3 linked regions of the Struthio camelus genome follow. The protein of the gene in region 3 purifies or fractionates together with the protein of the main gene of each other region. This does not show direct contact. Links are inferred from orthologs where the notes say so. Each region holds a gene or a part of one and is shown on either strand. Other genes may lie near its edges.

Evidence for each region.
Region 1: the proteins of PTPRU (region 3) and CLGN purify together in Homo sapiens (affinity purification with mass spectrometry; 3 studies listed by BioGRID and IntAct, with this or other methods). This does not show direct contact. The link is inferred for Struthio camelus from reciprocal best matches to the Homo sapiens genes PTPRU and CLGN.
Region 2: the proteins of PTPRU (region 3) and GOLIM4 purify together in Homo sapiens (affinity purification with mass spectrometry; 3 studies listed by BioGRID and IntAct, counting the BioPlex papers as one, with this or other methods). This does not show direct contact. The link is inferred for Struthio camelus from reciprocal best matches to the Homo sapiens genes PTPRU and GOLIM4.

Annotation. Positions count from the first base shown.
Region 1 is NC_090945.1:33,017,908-33,028,205, reverse strand, and holds the start of CLGN (calmegin), read left to right. Parts: upstream 1-6,082; 5' UTR 6,083-6,244; intron 6,245-8,079; 5' UTR 8,080-8,088; coding exon 8,089-8,250; intron 8,251-10,087; coding exon 10,088-10,158; intron 10,159-10,298. UniProt on the Homo sapiens protein: Functions during spermatogenesis as a chaperone for a range of client proteins that are important for sperm adhesion onto the egg zona pellucida and for subsequent penetration of the zona pellucida.
Region 2 is NC_090950.1:28,822,906-28,833,288, forward strand, and holds the start of GOLIM4 (Golgi integral membrane protein 4), read left to right. Parts: upstream 1-6,082; 5' UTR 6,083-6,211; coding exon 6,212-6,398; intron 6,399-10,383. UniProt on the Homo sapiens protein: Plays a role in endosome to Golgi protein trafficking; mediates protein transport along the late endosome-bypass pathway from the early endosome to the Golgi.
Region 3 is NC_090964.1:5,776,355-5,787,183, reverse strand, and holds the start of PTPRU (receptor-type tyrosine-protein phosphatase U), read left to right. Parts: upstream 1-6,946; 5' UTR 6,947-7,050; coding exon 7,051-7,123; intron 7,124-10,829.

The sequences.
Region 1 (10,298 bases), on a different chromosome or scaffold from region 3:
TTGAGGTGCCGCTTTTTACAGACTTGTTTGAAATCTAGGCTAACAGCAGCAAAAAGCCTGACTGGCTGAGAAGAGCATATCCAAACAAATCCAAAGTATTTAATTCTTAATACTGTGTATTAGAAAAGAGTGGAGATAACGGTTAAATGTTTTTATGAAGAATATTAAAAGATATGAAGAACTGAATTATGTTAAGTAATTCTACAAAATGTTCTTGATTGAGCTGTCATGTATGAAAATCTTACCTTAGTTTGGCAACACTGAGTAAACATTGCTACAAACAATTGTCAAGATGTTACAGGATGTCTCAGGAACCAGAGCATAAAATTAAGTTAAACCTCACGAGAACTAAAAATGAGGACATTTGAGGGGGGGAGAAAAGGGGGATGTATTTTTCAATTTTTCATTCATTTTTCACTAAGAAAACCTGGTTAATTTTGGAGGGAAATTTGAACACAATGTATTACACACAGTACACACAGTACTACACAGTACACAGTTTTACACACAGTATTAATTCCAAGTCCTTGGAGTAGTCAATCAGAGAGAGGAGCAACTTAGCAATATGAAAATGGACTTCAGACTTACCATAATGAGTGTGTTTCACACTTAATGCAGCAGAAGGTATGTTTAACATTTTTTAAATGGGAAGTGCCTCTAAGTTACCATTTAAATAACTTGAAAATCAAACAGCTAAACTTCATCAGATTGTAAAACTTTTCACTAAATTGTGTTGTATTAATTACAGAAAATATCTGGTATATTATGTGTAATTATATTTTTGTAGAAGGAAAATCTATTTAAATATAATTTTGGATCCTGTAATTTATCAATTTTTTATTTAACTGTATGTCCTGGTACTTAAGTCCTACTCAAAATGCAAAACTCCATACAAACTTGAAAATAAAAGTTAAGCCACACAAGTATCATTTAAAATGTGTTTGGGAAATGATAGTCTACCTTGGACATCTCCCTGTGACGTGCAGAATTCCTGTATCACCTCCTTAACACTTGAAGCACGAGCGCACCCTCGTTCAACCCATATGCAGCGCAGTTTAACTGCACAATACTGACAAATAAGCTGCATATTTGCACGTATTTGTATTAAACATGTTTTGTAGGCTAGTATTTTAAAAGCAATTATATTTTCTTTAGAGCAAGAAACATTAATTATTCTTACATACATTAAAATGGCTGAAAGGCTGTTTTTTGAAGAACATCTTTAATTTAAATAGCTTATTAGTAATAGTTTAATAATAGTTTGTGAACTAAACATTGCCGCCTTCAGAAGGTTAAGAACTTAATGCAGTGTGTTATACATAGGGGAATCCAGAGTGCTTAGAGAGACACAGGGGAACACCTTTATCTGTGGGCACGTACAGTAGGAAAAAAAAGGTTGAGTGAGACTGGGACTGGTGGATCGTGAAAAGTACAGCGGTTAAAACTACAGCTAGAGAAAGAAGGGAAATAAAGTGGCTCTGCATAGAACTACATGGCATGCGAAGGGCTGAGCCTCCTCCCTCGGACTCAGGTTAGGAGAGCCATTCAGATAATTTTTTTTTTTCCTCTACTGATAACAGGAGTCAGGCTGACACCTAATCATAGAAACTTAAACTAAGGCGTAAAACACAACTTAGATTATATTAAGTGAAGACAAAGTTAAGTACTCTTAAGTCATTCTTCTCTTAACTCTAACCTTAAAAGGCTTTAGCATCTTTGCAGGGGAAAATAAAATTAAAGTGAATAGGGCCCTTACCCCAAAAGGCAAAGGAACAGATATAACCTAGAGAATGCTTTCTTTTTCCTGTGGGGTTTTAGGAGCCTTTATGGGTATGAAAATTATTAAACTGTACTTCTTTTTTAAGATCTTAGTTCAGTTCTTAGTGTGTCATAAGTTTTAGTACCTTCATGGAAATCATATTGTGTCACAGAGATTATCTTCATCTTAAAGATCTTGTCAAACACTTCAGAATGGTACCAAACAATTACAATTTTTGTAAATTTACTGGAACTGTCATCTGAATTGCCCTTTTATAAGGCCTGTTGCTCCCACTACTGAAGTATGATTTAAGTAGAAAGAGCATCTCTTCTAGACTCTTTTGCTAATTAAGCACATAATCTGGTTTGAAAAAAAAAAAAAAAAAAAGCCAAGTCCTCTCTTTTGTTGTTGCTTTCAGTGGAACCAAGTCACTGGCTGGGAGCAGGGTTTGCATTCAGACTGCCTGTCATTTGTTACAGGGAAGTGTCATCGCATTGGAGGAAATTTCAGATCAATTATTGATCAATGAAAACACAGAAAATACTAAGGTAGTAGAAAAGATTTTGTTACTAAATATTCTTATTTTAACACTGAAAAGATATTTCACTGCAACTCTTGAAGCATGATTTCAAAAAGCTCATCATAGTACCTGAAATTATAGTATGAAATGCATGGACTTCTGTAAGTATAATTTTTTCATTTTGCCCTGCCAGCTTTGTCTTTCATTTAGTCTATTTATGTTTTTATATATCTCAAACCATTGCAGTCCCAGAACACATTGCCTATCACTTTGACATACAGGAGCATTGTAAATGTTAAAATACTGAATGCTTGCATGTGCACTGTTAAGTAAGATCCTGCTTAGTCTCCGTTCTTCCGTGTGCTTTGTGATGTGCAGATGTTGTCTTGCACAAATCTGCAGAATCACAGCCCTACTATAAAACTAAAAGCACCACATAGGAGGAACTCTGGATTTTCACTGAAGAAGCGATATCTAATTTTTGAGTGTTACAGTGCCAATAAGTTTTAGACAGTGGCATGTAATGGAAATATGCCTCTGTGTTTTTACCTGCTAACATCAACAACCAACATTGGAGTGAGTTATCTGGATTTATTCATAGAAATCTTTGTTACACATGAAGTGGTTACAGATCATACGTAGTCCTCCTTCTGACCTGGAAAGTATGTCCCTAGCAGGGATTTTCCATTTAATCTCTTGTGTCAAACCAGAACAAGCTTTTGCACACTGTTTCTGAGGCCAGTGTAAAAGCTGTTATGAAGCCCCCTCATGAGCTCGTAAGGACTTTCAGTTCAGATCATTGATCTGGGGGATAAGGAACATCTGTTAAGGATGGCTATTTGTTGCATTGTAAATATTATGTTTGTAAATTACAACACAAAAAAAGGTAAGCAGGAGATAAAAATGAAAATATAAAAGGACGTTCTAATTCCAAACTAGATCCCTGAGCTTTTTCGGTAGGAAATTTTACCTCAATACTTTCATATGGTTTAAAATATAGTCTCCAAAATACTAACTACCTCAGGCTCACTCTACATAGCAATAATCAGGTTAAATGCATGTATGGGAAGAAAGCACATTTTTCAGGTTATTTCACTATTAATGATGTTTATTCCATCCATTTTGATATCCACTGAAATGCAGTTACTCATTTCTCTGATTGGTGTCTCTGCATTCTTGTTTAGAGCCTTTGAGGGACTTTTGGAAGGGGTTTGTCTCTGAGACAAAAGCCAATTATAAACTTGGTTTTAATAATTTTTTTAAATATTGTTATTTCCATTAATGATGTGGGACCCTAATCTCATCACTGTTACTATGACCTTTTGCAGTTTAATACAAGTACACATCCAGTGTTAATGCTAATGATGCTAGGCGTACACTGAGAAGAGACTAGACTATTGAACAGGAGTATCTATTACAATTAATGAGGAGATTTTTAATCCAAAGTTTAAGATGGATTTAATTATTGAATTTAAAATCTTCTCTCCCAAATATATGAATGAACGTAAATGTGTTCCATATTCAAGGATCTCAGTTCTCCCCAACATTTACTTTTACTGTTATTCATAAGTCACACATCTGTTAGCTAGCTGCCCTACTGGTTGTACAAACTAATGGTCTTGTCTGAGACTGCTGCATGGGATGCTTTAAAAAAAAAACCCAAAACACTACTACATATTTAAATAAATGTGAGATCCCAGATGCATCTTACATAGATGCCTTGCACTGAACAGTAGCAATATTAACAATTCTGAAGTGAGCAGAAATCTTGAATTCTGCAATCGCTTCTAAAGCATGTGTATTTCAAGCTGCGGGGATAGTTTTCATCTGTCTTTTTGATGATGGATTGCACAAGAACATTCCTAAATTTTTTTAGCTAAAGATGTTTACAGATTTAAGTTTCTGTAGAACTGAGGTAGAACTTCTGAAAAGTATACTAAATAAATATTTGAATTAAGCCTTAGCAGATCTTTCCTATCATCATTACCTAAGCCTTAATAAGAGAAGAAATTGTATGGCTTTTCTATTTTTGTGAAGAGATGAATATTCACTGTGTTGAAGTTGTAAAGACTAACTTGTTTGCAGCTTGTAACTGAAATAACCTGCAGCAGTCTTAGACTTCGACGACACCATCAAATGAAAAAAATCACTCATCTGCATTAGTTTATAATGACCATATAATGCCTAAAGGCAGAATATCGCAAAAACATTAGTATTTGGATTTACAAAGTATTTTACATATTCTGATGGTAACTGAACAATTCTGAGTTATTTATACTAGTGAGCAGACTAATACATGGTAGACAGAATACCAGCTGGAGAAATCTGTATCTGTATGGGGGAAGCTTAGCTTGAGGGGGTACAGGCCATACGCCTGTGTCTTAAAGACTGTTTCTTAAACGTGGGAAGAATAAAATAATATTAAAATAGATGGTTGTGGACCGAGCACTGGCTGTAAGGGGCGTAGAGCCCTGAGCAACAAAATCCTCTGACTTACAGCCATGCTTCCATCAATGCTCCTGGCATTTCCTTACTGCTTTTCTTTCAAAGAGGCACACGTTGGCGTGAACAATAGAAAGAAGAGCTCTGCGTATGTGCCGCGATACGAACTTCTGTGGGCAGTGAAATATACCTGCCTTTGAGGGGGTGACTGGTACTGAAACACAGCCCTGGGTGCGTGGGGCGTGTACTTCTTTAAAACAGTGTTTAGTGAAGGGTTGCAAATTAAAGAAATTTAACAGCACCAGATGAAAGGCAGTGGCTGTAATTATACAGCATTTATGATTCAGCTCACAGACACTGGGGAACACTGACCTTGAAACGAGCGTTACAACCCAGGCAGCCTTTGGGGAGGAGGCAGCCTCTGACAACGCGAATCGTGAAGTGATGCAGCGTCACATGCAAGCGCTGCTAAACTGAAATCTCATTTATCAGTTGCTGTGCGGAAAAGTTCCTAGTGATCTCTCAAGGAATTGCTTTTGTCTCTGCCATCCCCTGCACCGTTTTAAATATTGTTTTTCTGCATCATGTCTTGAACTCTCATGATTTGTTCGCTCTCCAGAACGGAAGGATATGACTGTGAATCAAGCTGAGTCAGGAAGCTGCTAAGGGTAGTAACCTTGTATCTGGGGTACATAAGGGATCCGGGGGAGGCTTTAAGGAACGGGTTTGGAATGAAGGGAGCAGTGCCTCCACTTAGCTATTCCTCAAATGCAGAAAGCAAGGCTAGACTCATTCTCCAGTTCTGGAAAGGGTTTGGTTGATGTGGACTAAATTGTTTCAGTCAGTGACGGAAAGAAGCCTTGCCTTTATCCAGCCTGATAAATGACTGATGCTGTACCACGACGGATAAGTTTGCCTGAAAAATGCCGTGCTGGAGCGCACATTTATGACTTTCCAAGGCAATTCAAGTAGATTTGCCGTCTCCCCCAGTTATTTTCCCTCAGCTGGGGATGCGTTATTAAGGTAAGCGTCGTGTCTATCACAAGCTCAAACGTGTCATACGTAAAACCCGGTGTAAACCACTGCAGCGGGACGGTGGGACGGCCCCACAGCAGCGCCGCCGCGCGCCCCCGCCCCCGCCGCGCGCCCCCGCCCCCGCCGGGCACGGCGCTGGGCGATTGGCTCGGGACCACGTGCGGGAACGCCGACATCCGCGGACTGAGCCTCGATTGGCGCGCGCGGCGCGGAGGGCGCTCCTGATTGGCTAGGGCTGCCGCCCTCCCGCTCGCTGAGGTGGTGATTCGCTCGGTCCGTTGGAGCCGCGCGCGGATTGGGCAGGGCTTCACCTGCGGAGCCTTGATTGGCTTGGGCTGAGCGGCGCGAGCGGCTGCACCTGCTGCTCGGCGCCTGCATCCCTGAGAGCGCCGAGGGGGAGGTGGTGCGCATGCGCAGCCGTGGTCGGTGATGCCCTGGGAAAGGCGGCCCGGTTTGGCTAGCGGGTCGCGGACGGGATTTCGTCGCCGGTAATTCGCCTGCCGCGGGGAGGGGGGCGTGCTGGGGCGGCCTCTACGGCGGGGGCTGGCCGTGCGCGGCGGCTGCCCCCGGGGGTTGAACAGGGGCGCGGGGGGGTCGCTCTTTTTTGGTGTCGCTGCGTTTCGTAACTAGGGCAAGGGGAGGCAGGAGGGCCGCAGGGGCGGGAGTCCCGCGGGGGGGGGGGCCGTCCTCCCTCCGCCGCCCCTCAGGGAGAGGCCGCCCCGCCGGTGCGGGCAGCGGGGCCGGCCGAGGCCGCGTGTGCCTTCCTCTTTTCTCCCCCCCCCCCCCCCCCCCGCCCCGCGCAGGGGTGCGCCTCGCGCGCCGGGCGGCCGTTACTCGCCGTTAGCCGCTCGCGACGCCAGCGTTCGGAGCGCGAGGCAGGGCCGCGGCGCCCCGCCCTCCCGGTGCGGCGGGGAGCCCCGGGGCCGCCCGACTCCGGCTGTGAGGGAGGCGGCGGAGGAGGAGCGGCGCCGCGGCGGCCGGCGCCTCCCCTCGGCCCGGTCACCGCGCGCCGCCCTGCGGCCGCAGCAGCCGCCTGCCCCGGGGGCGGCGTTGGCGGCTCCTGCCGCCGCCGTCTGCCTCAAGGTAACGGCCGCTGGGTTTTTCTCGGGCACCACCTGAACGCCCGGTGGTCGCATGAGTCGAACCTCTTAAACTTGAGGAAGAAGCGTATTCCTGGCCGTTTTACTCAGGAGAAACGTAGCAACGCAATTGCTTGAGGAGGGACTTACGCAAATGTGATATTACAGTTTGGGTTATATCTTGCTAACACACTCATCTTACCACAGCATTTTTAAGATCTATGTAAAAGATAGGAAAGTACCATTTTTCATCCCAAATAAAGGAAACTAAAACGTTCTGTAAGAGCTTGAGTGTTTTTCATGGAGGAGTTTCAGCTGGATGATGTCTGGGCAGATTCATGTGCATGTAGCTGTATGGGGAAGGAGTGAGGTGATATATGGTTATAGATGAAAGGGCAGGGGAACGCCCATCGACCTGGATGGAACTAGTATTTGACAGTGGGAAAAGCCTATGGTGGTTGATGTTGCTTGCAGGACCTTTAGACCTTTGAGTGAGCAAAGCTCTTCATGGCAATTTTCTTCACGTTCCGCTTGACAAAAGCAAATTTTGCTCTTGTAAATAGTTTAAATAGTTTTGTGAAAAAGACTCTTCAGAGTACAGTGAAAAGCACTGAAAAGTTGGTAATCCACAAAATCCTGCATTATGTTTAGTTTCTTGCATCAAAAGGAGTAACAATAGCCTTCTATGCGTGCTTTTAATCTAATAGCATGCGTAGAATATACGAAATGCCATGGTGCAGCGGTCCCCAATTGACATAGTTACGTTCTCCAGTATTCCATAGAAATTGAGTGATTTGCTGGGGAAGGGCCTTAGGAGAAAGAAATTGGTTTATAGAAATTATAGAAATTGATTCAATTTGATTACTGGTTCAGATTGATAAGGAATGAGTAATTAAAAGCATTCTTAGTTCTTAAAATTGCATACATCCAGCAGTCGTGTTCTTGCTGCATTGTTGGCCTGGCAAGGTAAGGGATCAGGCTACAAGCCCTTCCTTGGGGAGAAGGGGAAGGCAAAAAAAAGTCTTAGGATTGTACAGTAAAAAGAAATTTAATATTAAGGTATAGAACTTTCCTAACATGAGAGAATAGCGAGAGAATAATAAGAATGGGAATAGAATGATTATAGTCTTTATATCTTGTTTGGATATGGTTCTTTTTTTCTTGTAGCTAAAATCTTGAGTAAAATTGAACTAGCATTGATAGTTTGCAATGATATTTATAGTTTACAATTTTCAATTCTTCAGATAAGCAGGATGCACTTCCAGTGGGACTGGCTGTGCTTGAGTGTCCTGATAATTAGCCTAGTAACTGCAGAAATTGAAAATGAAGAAAATCGAGATACAGATGTTGAAGTGGAGGATTTTGACAAGCAGTCAGAAGATAATAATGTTGACAAAGATGAATCTTCCTTAGAGGTAAGATTATAGATGTCTTTAGTTAAATCTTGTTTAATTTTAAGATAGTTATAATTAACATAGAAATTAGTAAACAAACGCATTTTAGAAAGAGCAAATTGCACACATTTGACAGCTCACATGGGTGACAAACTCACAAAGGTGAGGTTTTTCAGTTGTTGTGTGAGACATGGAGGACAAGCTTTATGAATGACTCTACTATGTGAAAGTGGAAAATCAGATTTCCTACCTGTACTTAGATAGTCCTTAAAAAAGCCTTACTAGTCTATACTTCAGTCTGGAGCTGGAGCCTTTAGTTTTAAGTCATTCTTGGTAATATACCTTGCAGCCTAACACGCATTTATAGAGAAGAAAGCAGAAAATGTTGCTTGTGCTTATTCTCATTTTGACTTCAGAACAGGTTCTTAATTTCATCAGTCACAACTGTCTGTCTTACCTCCTCTTTATTTATTTCTTTGTTTACTCTCAGAAGATCTTTCAGCATTTGTTATGCTGTACTTCATAATAGATGTGGACACTTTTTTTCTGTTTTTAACTGCGCAGCCCAACTATTATGTGCCAAATAGAAAGGACTGTGGGGGAGAGTGACAAATCTGTATAGAAAGAAATAGGGAAGAAACAGAGAAGTGGTGCAAGTTCAGTAAACTTTCTATTTTTTGGGTTTTTTTTTTCCCCCTTTGATTTGTAATTTATCTTTGTTCCTCTAGAGCTGCTTAAATGCAGGGGTCGATTGCTGTTTTTACAAGTTTATGCAGCTATATGTTCAAACTGAGAAGAGACTTCCAAGCTCTCCATCCTATTGAAAAATGAAAGGACTGTCCGAGCATTTTCTTCTACAAACATGCTTAGTTAGCTTAGTAAAACTTAAATATCTAAATATCCTGTACTATATTTCATTTATATACTTCAAGAGTCCCCAGATAAGTTTATTTTCAATATCAAATAATGCAGACCTATTATAGCTTTCTCTCCTCTTAAAGTAATAAGAAAGAAATTTTATGCATGTTTAAACAGTATGAATCTGGATATTTGTATTGACTAATACAAATATATGCCATTTTGTTCCTCCTCTGATGTGAGTTTAAAGTTATTTGGCATATCTTTGGCATCACTGTTGGAAATTAGGGCTTCAGTACAGTGGGGCTGTGAAACTACTTCCTCTAAAATTTATTATGGAATCCTAAGCACCAAGCATAAGATGATGTGACAGTACTTTACTATTTAATTATAAACCCTGAACACAAAAAGCAGATTTTGTACTTAATGTGTTTTTTATGTTTTATCATATCTGAAACTTTCCAAGATGTTGATTTGTTCCCTGTGTCTATCTGCGAGGGCACAGCAAGCAGAGAGGAAATAACTAGTGATAATCCAGTATGCATTTGTGCTCTGTACTGTTTCTAGTAGGAGAACCACAATCCAGTTTTCAGAAATCTGGAAAAGAGAATGAGTTTTTACTATATCTGAAAATGAGGTTAAAACTGACCTAGTAGCCTCTCTTACCGTTGTTAATATGCCACTGGAAATGAAGCTCTCAGATCCCTCTACATTTTAACGGTCCTTGCCCTGAGCCTTGGTTTGCTCCTCTGCTGTTGGCTATTTTCTCTTGGTCACATGGATGCTTCATGTCTGAAAAATTGCTCATCGTTGGATGGATGCACCCAAACTGTAGAAATGGTGTGTGGGGCGGGCGTAAGCATCTTATCCTATTAGATGTTCCTAATGAAGGATCTCAAGTGGTGTGGCTGGGTAGACAACTTCTGGAGGTATGACAGTGTTTTTCAGATGAAAAATCATAATTTGTTTATTAGCACATATATCTGTGAATATCTTTTAGGTTGTGTACCAAACTCCAAAGCCTACTGGGGAAGTGTACTTTACAGAAACCTTTGATGGAATATTGGCTAGGTGAGTAGTGTCTTAAAAAAAATCATAAATTTGCAGTGTTAGCAATTTAACTTATAGTGGCAGGACCTTTTTTTGTATTTGTTTTTTTGCTAGTGACTTAATCCAAAGTAATTTTTATAGAGGTTAGAATTGGGAAGGCT
Region 2 (10,383 bases), on a different chromosome or scaffold from region 3:
TGCAGTCAAATATTATTATTTTCCCTTCTGTAAAATGCTAGCCCCCAGGAAAACAGGTTTTCCAATTGCAAGTCCGTCATAAGGCTGATCATCTGACCATCACTTAAAGTCAATTAGCATTTTAGCATATGATATTTAACTGATCTGGGATCTTAAAATTTGTTTTAAGGTATTGCTATTGAATAGTTTTAGGGCAGCTATAATTTTAAGAACAATGGAGTACATAATGGTAGGAGGAGCTTTTTTCTGGGGACTGCAGCAAAAGGCTGACTCAAATTCCAGTGTTTCCTAGAAGTTGTTCTGAGTAGTTCTACCGTGACAGGCAACTAGTAATTACTCCAACATAGGACACATCGGTGCTACTGCATCTTGAAGTTCATGTACGACGACCGTATGGCAATGATGCAAAGCAATGTATGGCAGTTCCAAGTGTGTCCTAGATGTGTCACACTTGTGCATTTGTAGACCTACTGCACATGCAGAGCAGTTCTATTGCTTCCTAGTCCTATTAGAACTACAGTACATTTTAATAAATCTGCTTATGTGCATTAATTATTAATTATAAGGATAATTAATTGGAGCCAGTAAGATGACAAGAGTATGTAAGTCAGAAAATACCAGAATTAAGATATTCAAAGACTGAGCTTAGCCTCCTTATTCATTTCCACTAATAACTACATTTTCTCACCTCATTCTGACACTGTTTAAATTACATCATGTACCTATACAGAATTTTCTCATAGGCATTTTATCTCCTTTCTTACCATGACTGCCAAGCAATTCAGAACAATACATCTTTACATATCCCTATAAGGTAGAAGTTAGCCATATCTATTGTTCTACAACCAGAACTGAGGTACCAGAAAACAAAAGCCAAAAATGTGTGTTTATTTTGAGGGTCCAGTTTGGGATAATCTGTGTTTAAATTTTTTCTGAATACTAAGTAGCAGAACACTTTCTATGTTGAAACATAACTCCCATTGCCCTCACCTCAGATTAAGACTTTGATTAAGCAAATAAGAGTTCAATTGATGGCTTCAGTTGGACACTCAGATATAGGCAACTGATAGTCATCTATAAAAAGCCTGCTTTAAGTGACTTCCCCTAATGTCACTAACTGTGATCTCAGTCAAGGATGTAATTCAGTTTTTCCAGGCAGCATTCACCTCCTGAAGCCCAACCATTTTATTTCTTCAGTACTTGACCTCCAATAAATGACCCCATGTGTTAAAACAATCTTTATACGTGTTAGCAGGCTGCAGTTGCTAGACAAAGGTCGTTCTTGCCTAAACATCTGCAGCTGGAATGTACTTTGTAGCTGGAGCAGCAATAACGTATGTCTTGCCTGTACAGTCCTTAACTTCTGGCAACCAAATGAATAAGTCGTGAGTTGTATGGGACAACCTTCACAGTACCTATCCATCACTCTGGATCCCTGATCCATTGATAATCTGCCGCCAGGTCTATTGAATTATTGTCGTCATTGGGTCATTCTGGAAAACCTCAAAGCTGTCCACTGATCATTTTTATTAGGACATTGGTTTCCATAGTTACAAAATAATCAAAGAATCAAGCTTAATAAAACTGGCAGTGAAAGAATGAATGAAATCATAGGAGAATCACGCTAAGAGGAGGAAAACAAACAAGGGAAATAAAAGAAAAACAAGTAGTTCTGTGATATCCAAACTTCTTGAGGACTGGCTTCCCACCCTTGTGGTTGACTATGAGAACTAACGTTCCAAAGAAATGGGACATTTCTAACATGTCTCTCCTGTGTAGATTCTCTTTTACCTAGTTGAGTTTTAGCACATGTAGCCTTACCTTCTGTTAGGTAACTTACTTAGGCTTATACTTGGTACATTGCTCCTCTAATTTCTCAGAATGTATAGGAACTTAATTTTGCTCAACATTTCTATGGTACAGTTAAATTTTTCTGAAATTTGGCAACGAGTTGCCAACTGTTTGTCCCTGTCATGGACAAACTGACAGATGGTGTGATTGCATAAGCCTCACTTTGTTAGGAAACTAAGCCAAAAACGGTAAATATATGTGTGCAAATGCCTGCCCATCAATTCCCTGTCGCAACCTCTGAGCACGCTTCCCATGTTACAACATGGGTCAGCAAGCACCTATCCCCCTTCCGTCCTGATTATATCAATAACTTATTCAGTGACTAGAGCAGTCAAAGTAACACTCCTCTCCTAGCAACTAATTTAATGCATTTGTATAGATTACAGTTTCCTTCTGGTTCAAACCTTTCTAATTTGGGATTTGAATTCATATTTGCCTAATGGATTCACTTAATAGTCCCTTGCTCCCAATAAATTCCTCATTTTAACTTTAATTGGTTTGCTCATGAAGAATCAGAATTTACATTAGCTGGAAACGATTTATCACCAGCTATTACTGAATGTAAGTAATATTTGATCAAGCAAAAGGAGAGAGACTCATTTCCTATTTTCTCAGCATTTGCTAATGTTATGGCCAATTTCTACAAAAAGATAAAGTATATTAACATCATAATCAAATAAATGCATTTAGAGTAAGTTCTACTTAAAGACCTTAATTCACTGTCCTCTTAAATCTATGACGTATCTTTGTGACGTGTATAAACTCATAATGATAACCAAAAATAACTACCACATTCAGATGTAGTTGCTGGCTAGACAATTGTTCTTTGGTGCAAAGTCATCAAAACTAAAGGTGTAGACTCTTTTTAGGAAAGGTAATGTAAGCAACAAGCGTATAGTTTGATTACCTGCAGTACTAACATATTAATCATCTCCAGTGATTTTAAAGTCTCAATCTAGAAATAAAGAACTGTTTTATTCTACTTAAATAAGCTCAGCCTGAGGAGTCTGGGAAAGCAAGAATACACAGGACATCTCTGTGAGTGAGTCTGGGAGAGAGGAAGACAAGCTGGAGTTTGGGGGGTACTAAGAAGCCTACATGAATATTTTTGTGAAAGCAACAGATACTGTAAAACTGAATGAAAACAAGTCCATTTGAAACATTTGTGGTTTTGAAAACAAGTTTGAAAACGTAAATTCACAAGCTTCAGGAAACTTACTGAAGGCAAGAAAAAAAAACATGAATACTTAAAAAGTATCACTAGTTTAAAGCAATTATAATTATTTCTGGGTGCCTAACTTACAATTTTTGAACATTTTAGTTGGCAACCGTGGAAGTCAGTGGGTGAAGAATATTGTTTATCCACTGTAAATGCAGATACTATGAATATAATTACATGCAATAAATTACTGCTAGCATTTTTGCTGCTAATGGAATTTTCCACTGAATCCGTTCAGCAGGGAAATACATCTTTCTGTACAATATTCAGTACATGAAATGTTAAAACTTGAGATGGAAAGTAGTCCCATCCGCAATCTTCTTTAAAACATTTTTGCAAAATGTCACAGTATTAATTATCTAATTCTAAATGTTATAAGCAAGTCAACAAGTGAGTATAGTTGTTTGATATTCAAATTCAGCTGCAAATAAGCTAAAATAAAGCTGTTCACTATTGCAGCTTTATGGATGATGGACAGCTTGGGCGTAGGTAGAGCAAATGTGCGTTCTTGAAAATGAGGATGGTACAGACATATCCCAAGACAGGCAAACATGGGAGAAAGATTAAAAGATGATACAACTAAAAGCATAAGGAAAAATGAAGATCAAATAGGAGCCTTTATTCTGACTGTAATAGAAGAACAAGGCATTTAGTTAAATTAAAAGACAACAGATTTAAATTAGAAATACATTTAGGTAGAAGCCATGCCAGCTTGTGGTAGTGACTGCAATTAGTTACTAGTGTATGTAGAAAATGTGAACATATTTTTATACCTCTTTTATGCTGTATTTCTTTTAGGGCCAGCAATGGCGCCTGTGATAAACTCTAGCTGCACGCACACTAGAAAGTTGGATATTTTTGGAAAAATAACTTTGGATTATGTCTTTTTTTTTCCTTATTAGTATTACTAGCTAAGCTTGTGGCAAGTGGTTTTTTTTTTTTTTTGGATAATAAAATACCTTAATAGAGAGAACTCTAGTTCTGTTAATTCTGAAGTCCTGTTGGTTAAGAATTAATTCTGTAAGACCTTTCTCACCTTTCTCGGCACAACGATGGAATTCGGAAACACTGCATGAGCAGAGCACAGGCACAGACATGCGGCCTCAAATTCACCAACTGCCTCAGCTGGACTCTCAGAGGAGAAAAAGGCAAAGAAAAGCTGTCAGTGATGCTCGGTGCCTCTGGGCTGTGTCAGCACCCGGAAACAAAGAACGGTCAATGGCCTATGACATAAACGAATGAAATGAAAAAAATCTAAATTAATGTGGGGCTCAAGCAAGAAAAAGAGGCTTTGGGGGACTTTGTTTCTTCTGTAAGACGCAGTTCACCCTCGTGCTCCTGGAGCGCTGCAGGCCCCAACGGCCACGCGGCGGGGCCTGGTGGGCACCCCGCCACACCGCCTGTCACATGCGGTGTCACACCCCGCCACTCCACCTGTCACACATGGTGTCACAGTGTCACACCCCACATCGGCTGTCACACATGGTGTCACACCTCGCCACATGCGGTGTCACACCCTGCCACACCACCTGTCACACATGGTGTCACAGCCCACCACATGCAGTGTCACACCCCACCACACTGCCTGTCACACATGGTGTCACTCGCAGTGTCACACCTCACCACATCGGCCGTCACACATGGTGTCACACCTCGCCACATGCGGTGTCACACCCCGCCACACCGCCTGTCACACATGGTGTCACAGCCCACCACATGCAATGTCACACCCCACCACACCGCCCGTCACACGTGGTGTCACACGCAGTCTCACACCTCACATCGACCGTCACACATTGTGTCACAGCCCACCACATGCGGTGTCACACCCCACCACACTGCCTGTCACACATGGTGTCACTCGCAGTGTCACACCTCACCACATCGGCCGTCACACATGGTGTCACACCTCGCCACATGCGGTGTCACACCCCGCCACACCGCCTGTCACACATGGTGTCACAGCCCACCACATGCAATGTCACACCCCGCCACACCGCCTGTCACACATGGTGTCACAGCCCACCACATGCGGTGTCACACCCCGCCACACCGCCCGTCACACGTGGTGTCACACGCAGTCTCACACCTCACACCGCCTGTCACACATTGTGTCACAGCCCACCACATGCGGTGTCACACCTCACCACACCACCTGTCACACATGGTGTCACACGCAGCGTCACACCCCACATCAGCTGTCACACATGGTGTCACACCTCGCCACATGCGGTGTCACGCCCCGCCACACCGCCTGTCACACATGGTGTCACAGCCCGCCACCCGCGCCGTCACGCCGGCCGTTACACCCGTCCCCTCAGGCAGGGCCCCGCGTGGCGCGGCGCAGCGCAGCGCGCGCCGCCAACCGCCGCCAACCGCCGCCCCGCTCCCTTGCCGGCCCGCAGGAGGCGGAGGCGGAGGCGGAGGAGGGGGCGGGGCGGGGCCCCCGGCGGCCCGGACGGACACGCCGCTCACCCAATGCGCGGAGGCGCTGCCGCCCCGGAGGGAGGGGAGAGCGCCGCGGCCGGGCCCAATGAGGCGGCGCCCGGAGCGGGACTTCCTTGGGGGATGCCGCGGCGGGCAGCGGCCGAGCGCGGGCGGTGACACGTAAGTCGGCGCCGGGAGGGGGCCCAGGCCGCCAGGGAAGTTTCCTTTGTTTCTCGTCCAGGTGGCAGCGGAGCGGAGCCGGGCGGGCGGGCGGGCAGACAGACCCGCAGGGGAAGCGCCGCCGCTGCCGCCGCGGAGCGGCTGCCGACGCAGACGCCGCCTGACGGGACGCCGCGGCGAGCCCCTCCCCGCCCCCCGCTCAGCCCCTCTCCCCGGGGCTGTGGGGACGCCGCCCGGGCAGGGCCGGGTCGGGTCTCTGGGCGGCGGCGGCGTCGGGCCGCGGCGCGCAGCAGCAGCAGCAGCAGCAGCCGGGGCGGCCCCGCGGGGGGCAGCATGCGGCTGGGGCGGCCGCCCCGCGCCTCGCTGAGTGCCGCCGGCCCCGCTGCGACGCCCGCGGAAGGCGGCGCGGCGGCGCCCCGGGGCTGAGGCGCCCGGCCCGGCCCGTCCCTCCTCCCGCCGATGCCGCCGCCTCCCGCCGCCGTCTCCTGCTGCTGAGCCGCGCTCGCGGGGGGCCCCGGGGCCCCGCCGGCGACTATGGGCAACGGGATGTGCTCCCGGAAACAGAAGCGGATTTTCCAGACCCTTCTGCTCCTGACCGTGGTCTTCGGCTTCATCTACGGGGCGATGCTCTACTACGAGCTGCAGAGCCAGCTGAGGAAGGCGGAGGCCGTGGCGCTCAAGTATCAGCAGCACCAGGAGTCCCTCTCCGCTCAGTTACAAGGTACCTCGGCGGCCGCCTCCGCCGCCCTCTCCCCGGCCTTCCGCGACACCCTCCTCTTCCTCCTCCTCCTCCCGCTCCTCCGGGGGCGACCGCTGTCTGGCCCCTCGCAAGGTTTGCCTCCTCGCGCGCTGCTTCTCCCCTTCTCTTCCTCCCCGTCCCGCGAGGTTTCGAGGTGCGAGCCCAGCCTCGTCCCAGCCGGTGGGAGCCTTCGCCGTAGCCTCCGGGGAGCTCTGCTCTCCCCTTGCGCCATAGCCCTTAACGCCCGAGGACTGCGCGCCGCTTCGATCGCTGCTGCGGACGGCGGAGGCGAGCGTTGCTCCTCTTCCCCTGACAGTAGCGAATGCTTCTAGCTCTAGTAAAACCCCTTTTTTTCAAAGGGTAATTTGAAAGTAAAGTTGAAGTAACTGAGTTGAGTAAGGCGATTCTGTTGCATTTAGAACAACTTGGGTTCTTTTTTAGTTCGAAGCTGCCACGTAAATACATGTATCTTAGTTTAAGGACGCTCCAAACGTGAGTATTCCGTATCTGAAGACGAAAAGGTGCTGATTCCGGACATCTGCGTGTCTGGAAATCAGGTGCAAAGCAGAAAATACATACACGAAGCATCAGCTCTGTAGGAAGTGCAAGACCTCTGCACCTCCCTAGTTGTCAAGTGCAAGCTATCAGGTCACCACATTCAAAGACCAGAACCAACTTCCAACTTTTAGGAATTTATTTCTTAAAACTGCACAAAAAAATAAGAGTTACCTCTAGCTACTGTAACAGTACTTGACTTAAGAGAGATCTTTAACCATACTCTTCACTGGGGAAGCCGATGGAAAAGCATGCCTGGAAGCATACAGTTTTTAGGCAGAGATAGCAGAACTGGACTTAAGCTCTTAGGTTCTAACAGTGATTTGTTAATGAATATGATCAGTTATGGTCAGAGATCTTCGTTATGTAGTGTTTCAGTTTCAGGTAATAAAACTATAGTGCTGTGGAAAAATTTGATTAAAAACTTGCGTTTTCTTCACCGAGAAGGTATACATATTTGGCTGAAAGATGAGTTTGTGGCAGATGGCTAAAGAGCTACTTTTACTAGTCTGTATATTTGCCAACGGTATTTGAAGAGGAAACAGAGAAACAGGAACATCTTGTTCTCAAGTTAAAATTCAACAAGTTAGCTTTTTAGTTTTTCTCCTCCCTATTAGGATAAGGTTTGCTGCATGCTCCTCTTTCGTGTAGTGAGAGAAACGTATCAGTCAGATTCATTGGGTCTGGATTGTGAGGTTGAACTTTCTACTTCCTAATTGTTATTATGAGTAGCTGTCATCTATCCAAATAAATTCATGGATGCAGCATTGTCCCTGCATTAAGTTCCTCATTGATACACTAAAAAGAGTGAGAGGATAAAACTTAAAAATATGAGCTAGAATCTAAAAATGTCAATACAACTGATTATCAATGGAAAAACCAAAACAATTACGGTTCTGGGACCCGTGCCAACATTTCAAGTGTATTAAGTGGGAGATCTGATATATATCTGGAATGGTAGCCATAAGTTTATTTAAAAAAAAATTATTTGTGAATTGTAACATACAAGGAAAACATGATTTAACAATAAAATTGAATCTTTAAAACTTTCCTGTATTATGGCAACAGCTAATATAACTAAGAGAGGATAAGGCTGAGACCCCTGGAGGTGCAGTGGCAAGCCTAGTCTCCCACTAAAATAAATTGTAGCTATATGCTTAAATACTTTTAAGGCTCTGGGCCTAGTGAGCTAGAGTCCCTGTCTTTCCCTGTACTTTTAATACAACTGTTTCCAGGATGAACTGTGTAATTGCTTCCATCTTTGCAGAAGGAGTTTACTAGTGATAATAGAACAGAACTATTCCAGATCAAATTCTAGACAGAACTTGGCACTGGTGTCTATGTCCAATTCACCTGGAGCTGAACAAATGGTTCAGAAATAGTTTTAGTTTTGTATATAACCAGTTATTGTGTTTGTATAACTCTTTAATATTAAAACAATAGAAAGGAATTTTCTTTAAATAGCTACTCTGTTAAACATTGACAGAAAATCACGGGTCTGCAGGTGTGGTATCTGACTGCACTTTGAACTCTTAAATGGCCTGGATTTTAAATCTACAGTGTTTCTGTTGTCAAAGAAAAAAGCTCTACAAATAGGCTATGTTTCTTTGGTGTCCTTAACAACACGTGAGATTATTCTGACTTTATTCTCTTTGTAAGAACAACAAAACATGTCACTGCTAAGCAGCATGACTTATCTTTTGCATGCGACATAACCAGTTTGTCTTAAGACACAGATATTGCTGTAGAGACAGTTTTGGGAGCTGAATTATGCTGCGAGTGCTCTGAAATCTTTTAAATGGGAACTGTTAAAAATGGCAGGTCCAGTAACAAAGCATTGCCAGGAGGAAAAGAGAGTGCCTGTATTCAAAAACACTCGATACCTTAGTGCTTACAGCTCTCTTCTAGGTGGTTGAAAAGGACTCTAACTGTCATTACAAGCAGGGGAGGGAACTGAACCTGGACTTCCTGAAGAAACACTTCATCAGAGGGCTTGTATATAAAAAGGGGCAACTTCTAAAGTGTCTTTTTAAGGCTCCTGAGGATGTTTTGTGCTGAGCTGGGTATTTTCCTAGGTGGCCTACTGGACTGAAGCGCTTGGTTGACACTAAAATATTGCCTGGTTTTGGTTGGGTTTAGTTGTGACTGTTCAGGTCTATAAAGACAGCTGCTCTCCTCAATACATACAGAGGAACACTTGTAGGGCTTCCAGGGAAACTTGAGTCATTTGGTGAAACGGTTAAGGAGCGTAGGTAACTCCCAAGTTTGTGTGTCAGATCAGTTTTAGACTTGAATGCCTTTGGTCTGCCTAAATCTTGGGAAGGATCCTCAGGTGTAGTTTAGAGGGAAGTCTCTGTTTGCTTCTTAGCATCCTCTCTACTGTTTTTCTCTCTCTGCATAGTTTTTCAGATTTTCCACCTATGCCAGATGGTAAGAACCCTCTTTTTGGTGCTGGCCAATTCTTCATGTCTGAATAAGCAGTACTTTCTGTCTTTGAAAAGTCAGTCTTAGATGTTTTCTCTCTTTCATAGTCTTACTTTGCATGGATTCAACACGTGGACCAGGGCTGGATCTTCTATACGCTTGGGAAAAATAGCATTTACGTCTACCAAGGGAGAATGCATAGAGCACTGGAAAGAGGTCTCAAAATCCGCTAGCCCGTTCACCTGATCTGGAGAGTGGTACATACAACCCCTGCTGTAGGGAGTTCTGCTTTTTCTGGTGTTCACAACCTCAGGTACTTGGTTGAGAATTATTTATGTTTTCTGAAATAAGACAAGGATGCAATTAAAAGAATGGCAGACTTGGGAAATGAGAACAATTGCTTCAGAGAGGCTGGGATCTTAAGTTCCCCCTCTTTAGACAGTTCACATTGTGGAAGACTTTGTATTTGAAAGTTAAGCTTCTAAGCCATCACACAAAAGAGAATGTCAGCCTTCGGCATTGTTATCTCTTAACAAAGTTCTGTTGGACATGGAGAAAGTAGGGCTTCTTCTGTAACTCACAGTGGGAATCCTGGAGGCAAAATTTAGAGATGGCAGAATGCTTCATGGCTGCTAAGAAAACCCAAAGTCATTGTTATCTGTAAGGTCTTTCATAGAGAAGCTGATCTTCCCAGCAGGCTGATTATTTCTTTAAATCTTATTCTCTGAGCGTTGTATCTTCAAAACCTGAAGATAATCTTATTTCATCGTCCTTAATATGATAAAACAAAGCTTGACACTGTTTGTCTCCTACAAAGATGCATCTAAGTCTTAAGCTATATAGGAACAGACTTCAGCTACCAGAACAGATATGCATTGATGGCTGTAGACGAAGCTGATCCTATCTTTGACTGCTTCAAGTCTAAATGTATCTACAAATGCTGTTTAGCCCTTACAACTTCGGTCGTCTTAGCCTCTAGGTATTATAT
Region 3 (10,829 bases):
AGGAGTTAAAAAAAAAAAGGCAGAGAGTCTTTCGGGGACAAAAATGACCCGAAATGAGATAAATAAGCTGGCGAAAGGTCAAGATAAACTGCAAAAGGCTCTTTCGGCTTGGTGCAACAAGACGGGGAGAAGGGGAGAGGCTTCGCCTGGCTGCAGGTAGTTTTGGCCGGGCCCGCCACTGCAAACGGAGAATTGCAAACTAATTGCAAAAGCGCTAATTGCCTGGGGTGGGGGGGGGGTGAGGGGCGTTAGGGCCGTGGGAAGCGTTTCGGCCTGAGCCTGGAGAGAGCGGCCGGGACTGGGAGCGTCGGTCCAGCCGCGGGAGCAGCTCGGCCACGGCGGTGCCGCAGGATCCCCGGCGGCTTCACTGCAGCATCTCAGCTATCGCGCGGCGGGAGGAACGGGAACGTGCTATTGCGGTGAGACGGGGCGGGAGACACCCAACGCCCTTTCCCCATCCCGGAGCTGCTAACCAAAAACCGACGGTGCCGCTGGCGGCTGCAGCCCCCCCCCTCCCCCCCGGCAGCTTTTGGGGGTCTCGTCCGGGCACCCACGGTGCTCGAATAGCATCTTCCCGGCTATTTCCCGCGGGAGCGCTCGCTCATTCGTCGCCGCGAACAGGAATCCGGGCGGCTCCGGCGGTTTCTTCGGACGAAGGGGCCCAAGTTATTTCGTCCTTTCAGGCTGCGCTAACTCATCTAATAGCTCTATTAGAGGCGGCCGCGGCGCCGCAGCGGGCGCCTGGCCGCTGCCGGCGGGGCCTTGCGGGGCGAGAGCGGCTAGATGAGACAATCTTTTTTGTCCGTTAAGGAAGAAAAGGACTTTGGGCATTAGTAAAAGGTGATTTGAGAAAATAGCGGAGTCTTATTAGAGATAAAGAACTGGCTGGGGGCGTAATAGGCGGAGAGAGAGAAAGAGGGAGAAGGCCGGGGAAGAGGGGAAAAAAAAGACTGGCATAAAGGGAAAGGTGGGGGGGGAGCAGAAGGTAAAAATTTGGGGTCTCGAATGGCTTCAATTCCTCTGTAGCATCGCGGACGGCTGCCTGGCGCTGGGCAGGGTGGCTCCCTCGGCGCTCTGCGAGATCGGTCGTCCCAGGGACGGTCACCGCAGCGAGTTACGGCTCGGGAGGGGAGATGCTCCCTCCAGCCCGTGCTAGAAGCAGGAGGCATTGCGGGGGGGGGGACCCCCTTTTTTGGGTCAAAACATCCGCAATCTGCATGCGCCGGCTGGGAATTGGCTTTGCTCCATCGGGGATGGGAGCGGAGGCTGCCGAGGCGGAAACCTTTGCCTTGTCCTTGCAGGGGAAATATTCTCAAAATGACCTAAAATCTAATTTTGGGGGGGGAGGGGGGTTTATTTTGCAGTGAGTCTGGTCGGAAGGGGTCTGCGGTGGAGCTGGGGTGGAGGCTACGGCATCCCGGGATCGAGACCCCGGCTGCGCCACCACCGCTGCTCGTGCCTCAGTTTCCCCCCTCCCCGTTTCATCTTCCTCCTTTCCTCCCGCCGTCTCGCCCTCCCCGGGCTTCGGGCTGTCTCCCAGCTCACTCAGCCAAAGCAAAACCCCGTGGTTTTCATGGGAAAATGGGTGAATTTACTCCGGCGGCAGTAAAAAGCAAGGAACCGACCTGGAGAGCAGGATAAAACCCTGCTCGCCCTAGGGGCTTGCCTGAAGGCCCCATCCCGTCCGGATCACGGCCCTCTTGGGATGCGAGGAAATTCCCAGGAATCACCCCTGGAAGCTGGGACCTTCTCCACCGGCCGGGGCGGCTCCGGGCCGCACCAGGCAGGACGGCACCCCGGCATGGGGCCGGCCCTGGAGCAGGTGCAGGGCTGGGAGGAGAGCGCTACCCACTGCCCTGTCCACCTGGCAGGGCCCCGAGCCTTCCTCATCCTCATCCTCACCCTCGGCCTCATCCTTATGCTCAGCCTGTCCATGGCAGGTCCGTGGTGGGTCCGTGGTGGGTCCATGGTGGGTCTGTGGTGGCTCCGTGGCAGGTCCATGGTAGCTCCATGGTGGCTTGGGGGTGGCTCCATGGTGGCTTCATGGTGGCTCCATGGCAGGTCCATGGCAGGTCCATGGCAGGTCCGTGGTGGGTCCATGGTGGCTTTGGGGTGGCTCCATGGCAGGTCTGTGGCAGGTCCATGGTGGGTCCATGGTGGCTTCGGAGTGGCTCCATGGCAGGTCCGTGGCAGGTCCGTGGTGGGTCCATGGTGGCTTCGGAGTGGCTCCATGGCAGGTCCGTGGCAGGTCCGTGGTGGGTCCATGGTGGTGGTACGGGGCTCCCCGTCCCCTGGCTGCTGTGAGTGCATGACACGGCCAGGTTGTGTCCAGCGGCCCCGACCCTAACGCTTCCCGTTAGGCTGCGTGAACACATTTAGCGCGTGGGAAATCAAAACTCATTTCATCCCGCGCTCCGTGCCCGGGCACTTGATCCCCCGCCGGCAGAAGGAGGGGGGAGAGGGGGGCCAGTCGCCGTCCCCTTCGCCCGTTAGCTGCCGAGCCGTTCGAGGCTCTCCTGGCGAGACGCTTTAACGAGCGTTTGCTGCTCGAGAGCCGAAACGCTGCTTTAATTGCAAACACGCTGACGGGGGGCCCTCGGCGGCAGCGCGGCGGGAGGGGAAGGATGGACTTGCGTCGCTGTCTGAGCGGCGGCCGGAGCGGGGCTGCCCGGTTTAATCCCGCTGCGGGAGGAAGCAGAGGGCAGCCCGGACGCCTGGGCCCTGCAGCGCAGGCGGGTCAAATCGTGGCTAACGCTCTGATTTCACTCGGAGAGCGTGGGACCGGCGGAGGCGAGAGAAGAGCTGTGATTTCGGGGCGACGGCCGCCCCCTCGCCGCTGGCGCTTCCCGGGGCGGGCGGCTGGCTCCGGCGGGGCTCCAACCTCCGGCCTCCGCGGCTGCAACTGGCAGAGTTGGGATTTTTTTGGGTTTTTTTCTCCCCGTGCTTGGTAAATTCCTCGGCAGGCGGTGCGGGAGCGGGGAAGGGGTTGCGAAGCGGCTCGGAAAGCGGGCGCGCGTTGGGTTGCGACACGTTGGCCGGGAAAGGCGCTTCGGGAAACGCTGGCCCGGTGCCCGCTCTGCTTGCGCGACGCCTTGTTCCGAAAAGCGACTTTGGCGTTTAGAAAAGGGCCGGCGCGTCGCGTGAAAACGCTCGCGCGCCTTCAAAGCGCCGTCTTTTCGGGTTGCTTCGCCAAAAAATCCCGGCGATGTCCTGCGGCAGCCCGCTGGCCTGAAGCGACGGCGGATTAGAGGAGCTGTGTCCCGAGGGAACGGATATCGGGGAAGGGGAGCATCGTATTCCTCATCCCTGGGGATAAAGGACGCGTAGGGACTTGCAGGGCGGCAGGATCCTGCAGAGCCAGGACCCAAGCGGGGCAATCGCAGCCCGCCGGGCAGCACCCAACGGCCGCTCGCAGCTCCAGCTCCTCCTGCCCCTGCGGGGAGCTGAGCTGCCCCTGCGTTCCCGTTCTCCCGGCGCAGCCGTACCTGCTTCCTGGCGAACCACGGCCTTAATGAACGGAGCGGAGATGTTAATTGGCTTCGGACAAGCGGTTTGTCAGCTGCAGTTAATGAACTCGTGCCTGCCGCCCGCGGGCTCGTGCCTGGAGAGCAAGGAGGCCGGCGGGTCGGAGGGACCGAGCCCGGGAAGCGCAGCCAAGCCGTTAATTGCCGCGGAAGAGATTTATTCCTGGGAGGTGTTTCGTCCGTCGCCGGTTCTGCGCTCTCCTGGCTTCGCTGCTCGTCTAAGCGGCTTAATTCCTTTATGAGGCATTATTTTAACAGGCTTTTAGCATCGTCGGAAGGGGATTTGTCAGGCTTGCGCAGCGAGGGGCAGGGGGACGGCTCTGCCGTCGCCGGCTGGCGATGGGGCCCGTCCGTGCTCGGGGTGAAGGGCGCCCGCGTCCGCTCCGGGCAGGACGGATTTTAATGGTTTGCAGAGATTTTACGGTTGGCTCAGCTCGGACATGCTCCCCGAGGTGGAGGAGCAGCCGGCGGCGGAGCCGTCTGTCTCCGGCGGGCTCTTTGGCTCCGATCGCACCGATGTCGGCGCTCTGGGTAGGGGCCACGTCGTGTTTGGAGTCCCGGGACGGGACCGTCCCTTGGGTAGGGACACGCTCCCAGGCCACGCGCCAAGACGGACGCAGGGTCTTCACCTAACGCGCGGAGGAGAAGATGGGCAGCGGCGATTTCCCGCGGTGCCGGCGCGGGAACCGGGGCGGTTCGGCCTCCCCTCGGCCCGGGGCCCCGCTGGCACCGTGGGCACGGGCGCCAGCCGGCGCGGGGACGTCCGTGGTGGGGCCGCGGACGTGCGAGGCAGGAGCCGCCACGCTCCGGCCTGGCTCCGATGAGCCGGCAGGCGCCATCCAAGCTGTTTTCCCTTCGGACGGACGACGCCGGGCGGGTGAAGAGGGACGCCGGGCCGAGCTCGGCAAGCGATGCCCGAGACGCGGCCCACCTCTCGGGTCCGCATCGCCGGCGGGTTCGTTCCGCCCCCGCTGCTTTTGGGAAAGGACGGCTCGGCTCCGGGCGCCAGCGGCTCCTGCGCTGGCCCGGCGCTTCGAAGCGCTCCTCCGGGGCCGGCCCGGCGCGATTTATTTTCCCGAGCGAGTCTTTGTCCTGTGATGGATCCGACCCCACCTGGATAAAGCAAATAAATGAGCTCAATTTGCAAGAGCGGCAAGGCAGCCTGGCGGAGCGCTGCCTTTCTTTTCGGTGGGGGGGGACAAAGAGAAATTGGAGAAAGCTTTTGGCATTTGCTGGCAGCGCTGTGCAATGCGAAGCAAGGCTATTACCAGGGACACGGCGCACGTCTTCCGAGCCGGGATTTTCCTAGGAGGTTTGCAGAGCTGAATTACACCCATCTATTAGCCGTTTGACACCGCAATCCGTCATGCTCAGGCTCGGATGCCTCCTCCCGCACCTCCTCCATCCGGGCACCGCCGCGGGCACGCCAAGGCCTTGCCCGGCGAAACGCAGCCGTCTCCCACCCGCCCTCCAAGTTTGTTTTAATCTTCCCTTAGACCTTTTTTTTCACCCTATTTGTCGCCGGAGCCGGGGGCCACGGCGGATGACGCCGGCGACCGCGGTGCAAACTCCCGCCCTCTGCTCCAAACCTTTGGGAAAACATTTCCCTCCGTAAACAGAGCTGCAGAGGATGCCGGCGAACAAGGCGGCTTTCACATCCCTTGGCACCGGTGCCCAGCGCCGCGCCGTCCCCGCGCTTGCTCCCGAGACGGCGCCGTGCCCTCGTGCAGGGCTCCCCGGCGGTGCTTGGTGCCTTCTCCCTTGCCCTGTGTTTTTTTCCCCCCCCCCGCCCCATGCCCACCCCCGTCGGAGAGATTTTCCTCCTTTTCTGCCCCTCTGTGTTCACCCCACGCTTGCTCCGGGTTATCTCGGCCGCTCCGGCTGCGTTCGCCAGCCCTGGGCGTTCGTTGCCCGGCGAGCATCTCTCGCACCCCCCCTGCAACTGAGGATGCCTCTGCAATCAGCGCCCCCCCCCCGCAGCCATGCACCCCATGCATTGCAACCAGGGATCCCCCCCACCTTTGCAATGGGGGACCTTCCCCTGCAGTCACGCAACCCCCCAGCAGGCAGGAACCTGCCCTGCAACTGGAGACCCCCCCCCGCAGCCATGCACCCCTCTGCAGCTGGGGACCCCCCTGCAACCGGGGACCCCCCTGCGGCCACGCACCCCTCGCAGCTGGGGACCCCCCTGCAACCGGGGACCCCCCCGCGGCCACACACCCCTCTGCAGCTGGGGACCCCCCTGCGGCCACGCACCCCTCTGCAGCTGGGGACCCCCCTGCAACCGGGGACCCCCCTGCGGCCACGCACCCCTCTGCAGCTGGGGACCCCCCTGCAACCGGGGACCCCCCTGCGGCCACGCACCCCTCTGCAGCTGGGGACCCCCCTGCAACCGGGGACCCCCCTGCAGCCACGCACCCCTCGCAGCTGGGGACCCCCCTGCAACCGGGGACCCCCCTGCGGCCACGCACCCCTCTGCAGCTGGGGACCCCCCTGCAACCGGGGACCCCCCTGAGGCCACACACCCCTCTGCAGCTGGGGACCCCCCTGCAACCGGGGACCCCCCTGCGGCCACACACCCCTCTGCAGCTGGGGACCCCCCTGCAACCGGGGACCCCCCTGAGGCCACACACCCCTCTGCAGCTGGGGACCCCCCTGCAACCGGGGACCCCCCTGCGGCCACACACCCCTCTGCAGCTGGGGACCCCCCTGCAACCGGGGACCCCCCTGCGGCCACGCACCCCTCTGCAGCTGGGGACCCCCCTGCAACCGGGGACCCCCCTGCGGCCACGCACCCCTCTGCAGCTGGGGACCCCCCTGCAACCGGGGACCCCCCTGCGGCCACGCACCCCTCTGCAGCTGGGGACCCCCCTGCAACCGGGGACCCCCCTGCGGCCACACACCCCTCTGCAGCTGGGGACCCCCCTGCAACCGGGGACTCCCCTGCGGCCACGCACCCCTCTGCAGCTGGGGACCCCCCTGCAACCGGGGACCCCCCTGCAGCCCATGCATCTCTCTGCAGCTGGGGACCACCCCGTGCAACCGGGGCTCCCTCCGCCACGCGGGACCCTCGCGCAACCGGACCCCCCCCCCGTGCAACCGGGGCTCCCTCCGCCACGCGGGACCCCCGTGCAACCGGACCCCCCCGTGCAGGCAGCAACAACCCCGCAACCGGAGCCCCCGCCGGCGCGGCGGCCCCGGGGCGCGCGGGGAGGGGAGGGGGGAGGGGGGCTGCGGTTGCGCGCGGCGGCCGGCAGGGGGCGGCGCCGGCCTGCCCGAGGCGCGGCGGCGGCGGCGGCGGCGGCGGCGGCGGCGGCGGCGGCGGCGGCGGCCCCGCGCGGCGCTGACGTCAGGCGGAGCCGGTCGCCGCCGCGCGGCCGCCGCTATTTGAGGCGCGGGGCGGGCGCGCGTGCCCCGCTGCGCCGCCGCGCCGAATCCGCGGGCCCGCAGGCGGCGGCGGCGGCGGCAGCAGCCCCGCACCCTCCCCCCCCTCTCCCCCCCCCCTCCCGCCGCGGCGGGCTGCACCATGCGAAGCGCCCGGGCGCTGCTCCTCGCCCTCGCCCTGCGGGTCTGCGCGCTGGACACCGAGACGCCCGCCGGTGAGGACGGTGCGCGGCGCGGTGGTGGGGGAGGACGGACGGACGGACACGGCGGCTCCCGGCCGTCGGGGCGTTTTGGGGCTGCGCAGCAGCGCCGAGCTCCGCGGGGGGCAGCGGGGCGCCGCGGGCTGGGGCGCGCTCGCCCGCGGGTGCATGCTCGCAGGTGTGCACGCTCAGCCGTGCCCGGGGGTGCTCGCAGGCGTGCCGGCGTGTGGGTGCCTGCTTGCATGGGGTGGGGGGGCGCTTGGGTTCCCCCCCCCCCAAATACCTTCTCCGGGCCGTCGGGGGAAAGAGGGGCTCGGAGCGCGGCCGCCCCGGCAGCTCGCGAGCCGCTGCCGGCCGCTCCCGCTGAGGTTTGCAACTGAGATTTAGTCCCCAGCGAGCGCCAAGTTTCGCTGCCCGCGTTGGAGCGGGGGCCGGCGCCTCGGCCCCCGGCGCGTTTCGGGCCGCCGCCCCGGGAGCGCTCCGGCCGGCACCGGCACGCCGAGCCCCGCTCCGGGGGGAGCGCCGCGAAGGGGGGGCGGCAGAGAGGGACTCGCTCCGCTCTCCGGGCGCGGATCGCTCGGTTCGTGCCCGCACCGATCTCCAAACGCCCGTGTCCCCTCTCCCAGATGTGGGTGTTCCCCCCCCTCCGCCTTGCTCCTTCCAGCTGCTGTTTCGCCGCCGCGATCCAGCCCCGCGCTCGGCGGCCGCGCTGCCTTCCCAGCCGCGGAGTCATGCCCCGCTCCGCGGTGCCTCCTGCTCCCAAGTCCCCGCAGCGAGCAGCGCCTGGGGACACCTTAAAAAAAAAAAAGGGGGGGGAAGAAAAAGCCATATTTTCCTGCAAAGCCGCGAGTTGGAGGGGACGAACGCGCCGCGTCCGGCTCCCTTTACCGCCCCGAGCGCCTCCACCGTCGCAATCCCTCCCTCTTCCTCCCTCTTCCTCCTTGCCCGCAGCGCCCTGAGCAGGAAATAAAACTTCATCCCGGCGGGCGGGTGGTTATTTACGGGGTGTTTTGGTTGGGGGGGGCGGGTGGAAATCCCCACCAAGTGGTCAGCGCTGGTGGGTGCCCGGCCGGTTCCCGCACGCTGCCGGCCCCGTCGGGGCGACTCTTCCCAGGCCCTGCTCCGCGGCCCTCGCCGGCAAAGATCTTCCCCTCCAGACACGCAGCTGGTGGCACCTCTGATTTATTATTATTATTATTTTTGGAAGTGCTTTTTTGGCTTGTGGCTGCAAGCCGCGAGGTCCCAAGTGGGGAGCGGGGCCCCAGCTCTTCCCCCGCACCGCTTCTTGCGTGCCGGCTGCCGGGTAGGGATTTGGGGAAAAACAGGTGGTGTGCGAGGCCGTGCCGCAGCCTGTCCGAAGGCCGCTCTCCGGTTACAGCCTGCTCGGCTGCGTGCTGGGTTTGTTGTGGGTTTTTTATTTTTTTTTGGTTTTCCTGAGATATAATTAGAGTTTTGCTAAAGCATGATCAGTTTTCTCCCTCCTGCTGAGCACTTTAGCCTTGGAAAAAGGCTGCTTTCCCGTTTCTTCTGGCTTTTTCCTTGGGGAAAGAGCACAAAGCGCCCCTGCAAGAGGAGGGATGAGCAGAGGGTAAGCCGAGGGTGAGGGGGGGAAAAAAACCCCTGGCAAACGGGAGCGGGTGCAGAGCGAGGCCGGGCCGTGGATGTTCCCGGGTCAGCCAAGCCTTGCAGCCGGAGCCGGGGCAGCTGCAATTAGGAATCCTGTAGTGATTTCATGTATTAATGATGATGAGCAGAGACAGCACAGGGCTGGCGGTAGAGGGGGGACAGGCAGTGCCCGGCGAGGCCCTTGCGAGCACCGAAGCAGCTGCTGGCTTAAAACGGCAGCACCAAGAATCTAGGTGAAAAAACTATTTTTTTTGGTTGTTTTTTGCAATGCTGCCTTGGTGCCTCGGTTTCCCCGTGCGCGAGGTTGGGGTGCCGCTGGGCGCGCTGCCCGGTGCCGCTTGCGGGGCTCCCTCCGGGCAGCCCCGGAGCATCGCCGTCACCTTGTGCACGGCAGGGTGGGGGGGTCGACCTGGGTGCTACCTTGCAAAGTGGCACCCAGCGAGGACGGGACCCTGCAGCTCCAGCTCTTCGGTGACGCCCTGTGCGCTAAGGCATGTTTTTGCCTTGCTCTTTGTTTTCCCTTCGCTTAAAACCGGAGCGGCTCACCTGCATGCAGTCCCTGTGCTGGTGCATTGATTTGTTTTTTTTGGCGTTTTTCTTTTTTTTTCCTCATGGCAGCCTCTAGCCAAAAATTAAAAATAGCGGTGCCTGTCAGCAGGAAAATAAATAAGGCTGACCTGTAGGGTGGGAGAGGGCTGAGGTGGGTGATGGATGGCTGAAAGAAGGGCCATAATGTGACTCCCTTGAGTGGGGAAACTGAGGCACAGAGCACTTGTGACCATCCAGCTCCCATGAGAGAGGCTGAGCTGGGGATGAACCCAAACATCCTGGCTCCAGCTTCCCCCTCCTGCTCCGGGACCCCGGGCCGATGCTCTCCGCTCCTTTCTGGAACGGGCGAAACTTTTGCCGTTCATTAAAATTTCACAGTGGCGAAGCCGTCGGCACGTATCTGCGTCGCGCCGCTGGGAGCGGGTGGCGGGGGGGGACCTCGAGACGGGGGGTCGTCGCGCTGGGGATGTTAATTTAGCGGCCGGGAGCGTCGGGGCGGGCGCCGGAGCCTGGCGTGGACGGGCCGGATGCAAGCGTAACCCGGCGAGCCACGATCAGTAGTGGCATGGCAGTGAGTTGTCACCCGGGTGGCTCCTAAAGGGTGTGTGTGTGGGGGGGGGACAGGTGCCAGCACTCCGTTCTGGGCGCTTCGCAGACCGCTTGGTGCTCTGGGTGCTGCTCCCCGTGGGGCGAGGGTGCTGGAGAGCTTCCCTGCTCCCGGGTGCCTTTGGAAGAGGAGCTGCCGAGACGTCCTCATCCGCCCTGCGCCAGGCATCGATGCTTCTAGCAGTCGCTGGCCCCGTGCCCTGGGGCAGAGCGGGCCCCGTCCCCGTCTTCCGGGTGTTTTTTTTTAACTCCCGGATGGGTGGGTGATAAAAGCAAGTGTCAAAGCTCAAACTCGGCTATATAAAACACGCGGGCTGCCATTGGGTTGCGGCTGGCCTAAGAGCTGGTCGTCTCCGCTGCCGGGTGGCATCGGGCTCGCTCACGGGGCGCCTGATGCTCCGGGATGCGGGGCGGCGTGATTCCCGGAGCCCCGGCTCCGTCGTTCTCCACCTCCTCGGGGGTTTGGGTCTTTTTTATGTCCCTGCTCTAGCAAATCTCTCGCTCTGCTGCGTTGCACTGATGCATCCCGTGAAACTTCAGCGATTGCTGTGCGAGGAGCGTGCTGCAGGCGGGATTAGCCCCTCGCTGGGGGTCGGGCTGGAGGGGCTGCGCGAGGCTGCTGGCCCCCCCGCCACCGCGGGCGCGACGGGCAGCCCCGACCGCGTCCCGGCGCGGCTTTGTCTCGCCCGAGTGAATGGGAAACGCCGAGCCAACGCGTTCCCTTTTGTCAGGCCGGGGCTGGGATTGGGGTCAGGCACCGGCACAAAGCCGCGTGGCTTCCCCCTGCCCGCAATGCCCCTCTCCAGCTGTTAATTGCAACATCTTCATTAGCGTGCGGTGGGGGTTGGGGGCAGAGCCGGGGCAGGCAGGGATGCTCGGGGAGGAGGGATGCTGCATCCGTGCCCGCCTGCGCTGGGGTCCCCCTGCCCCTGCTTTGCAG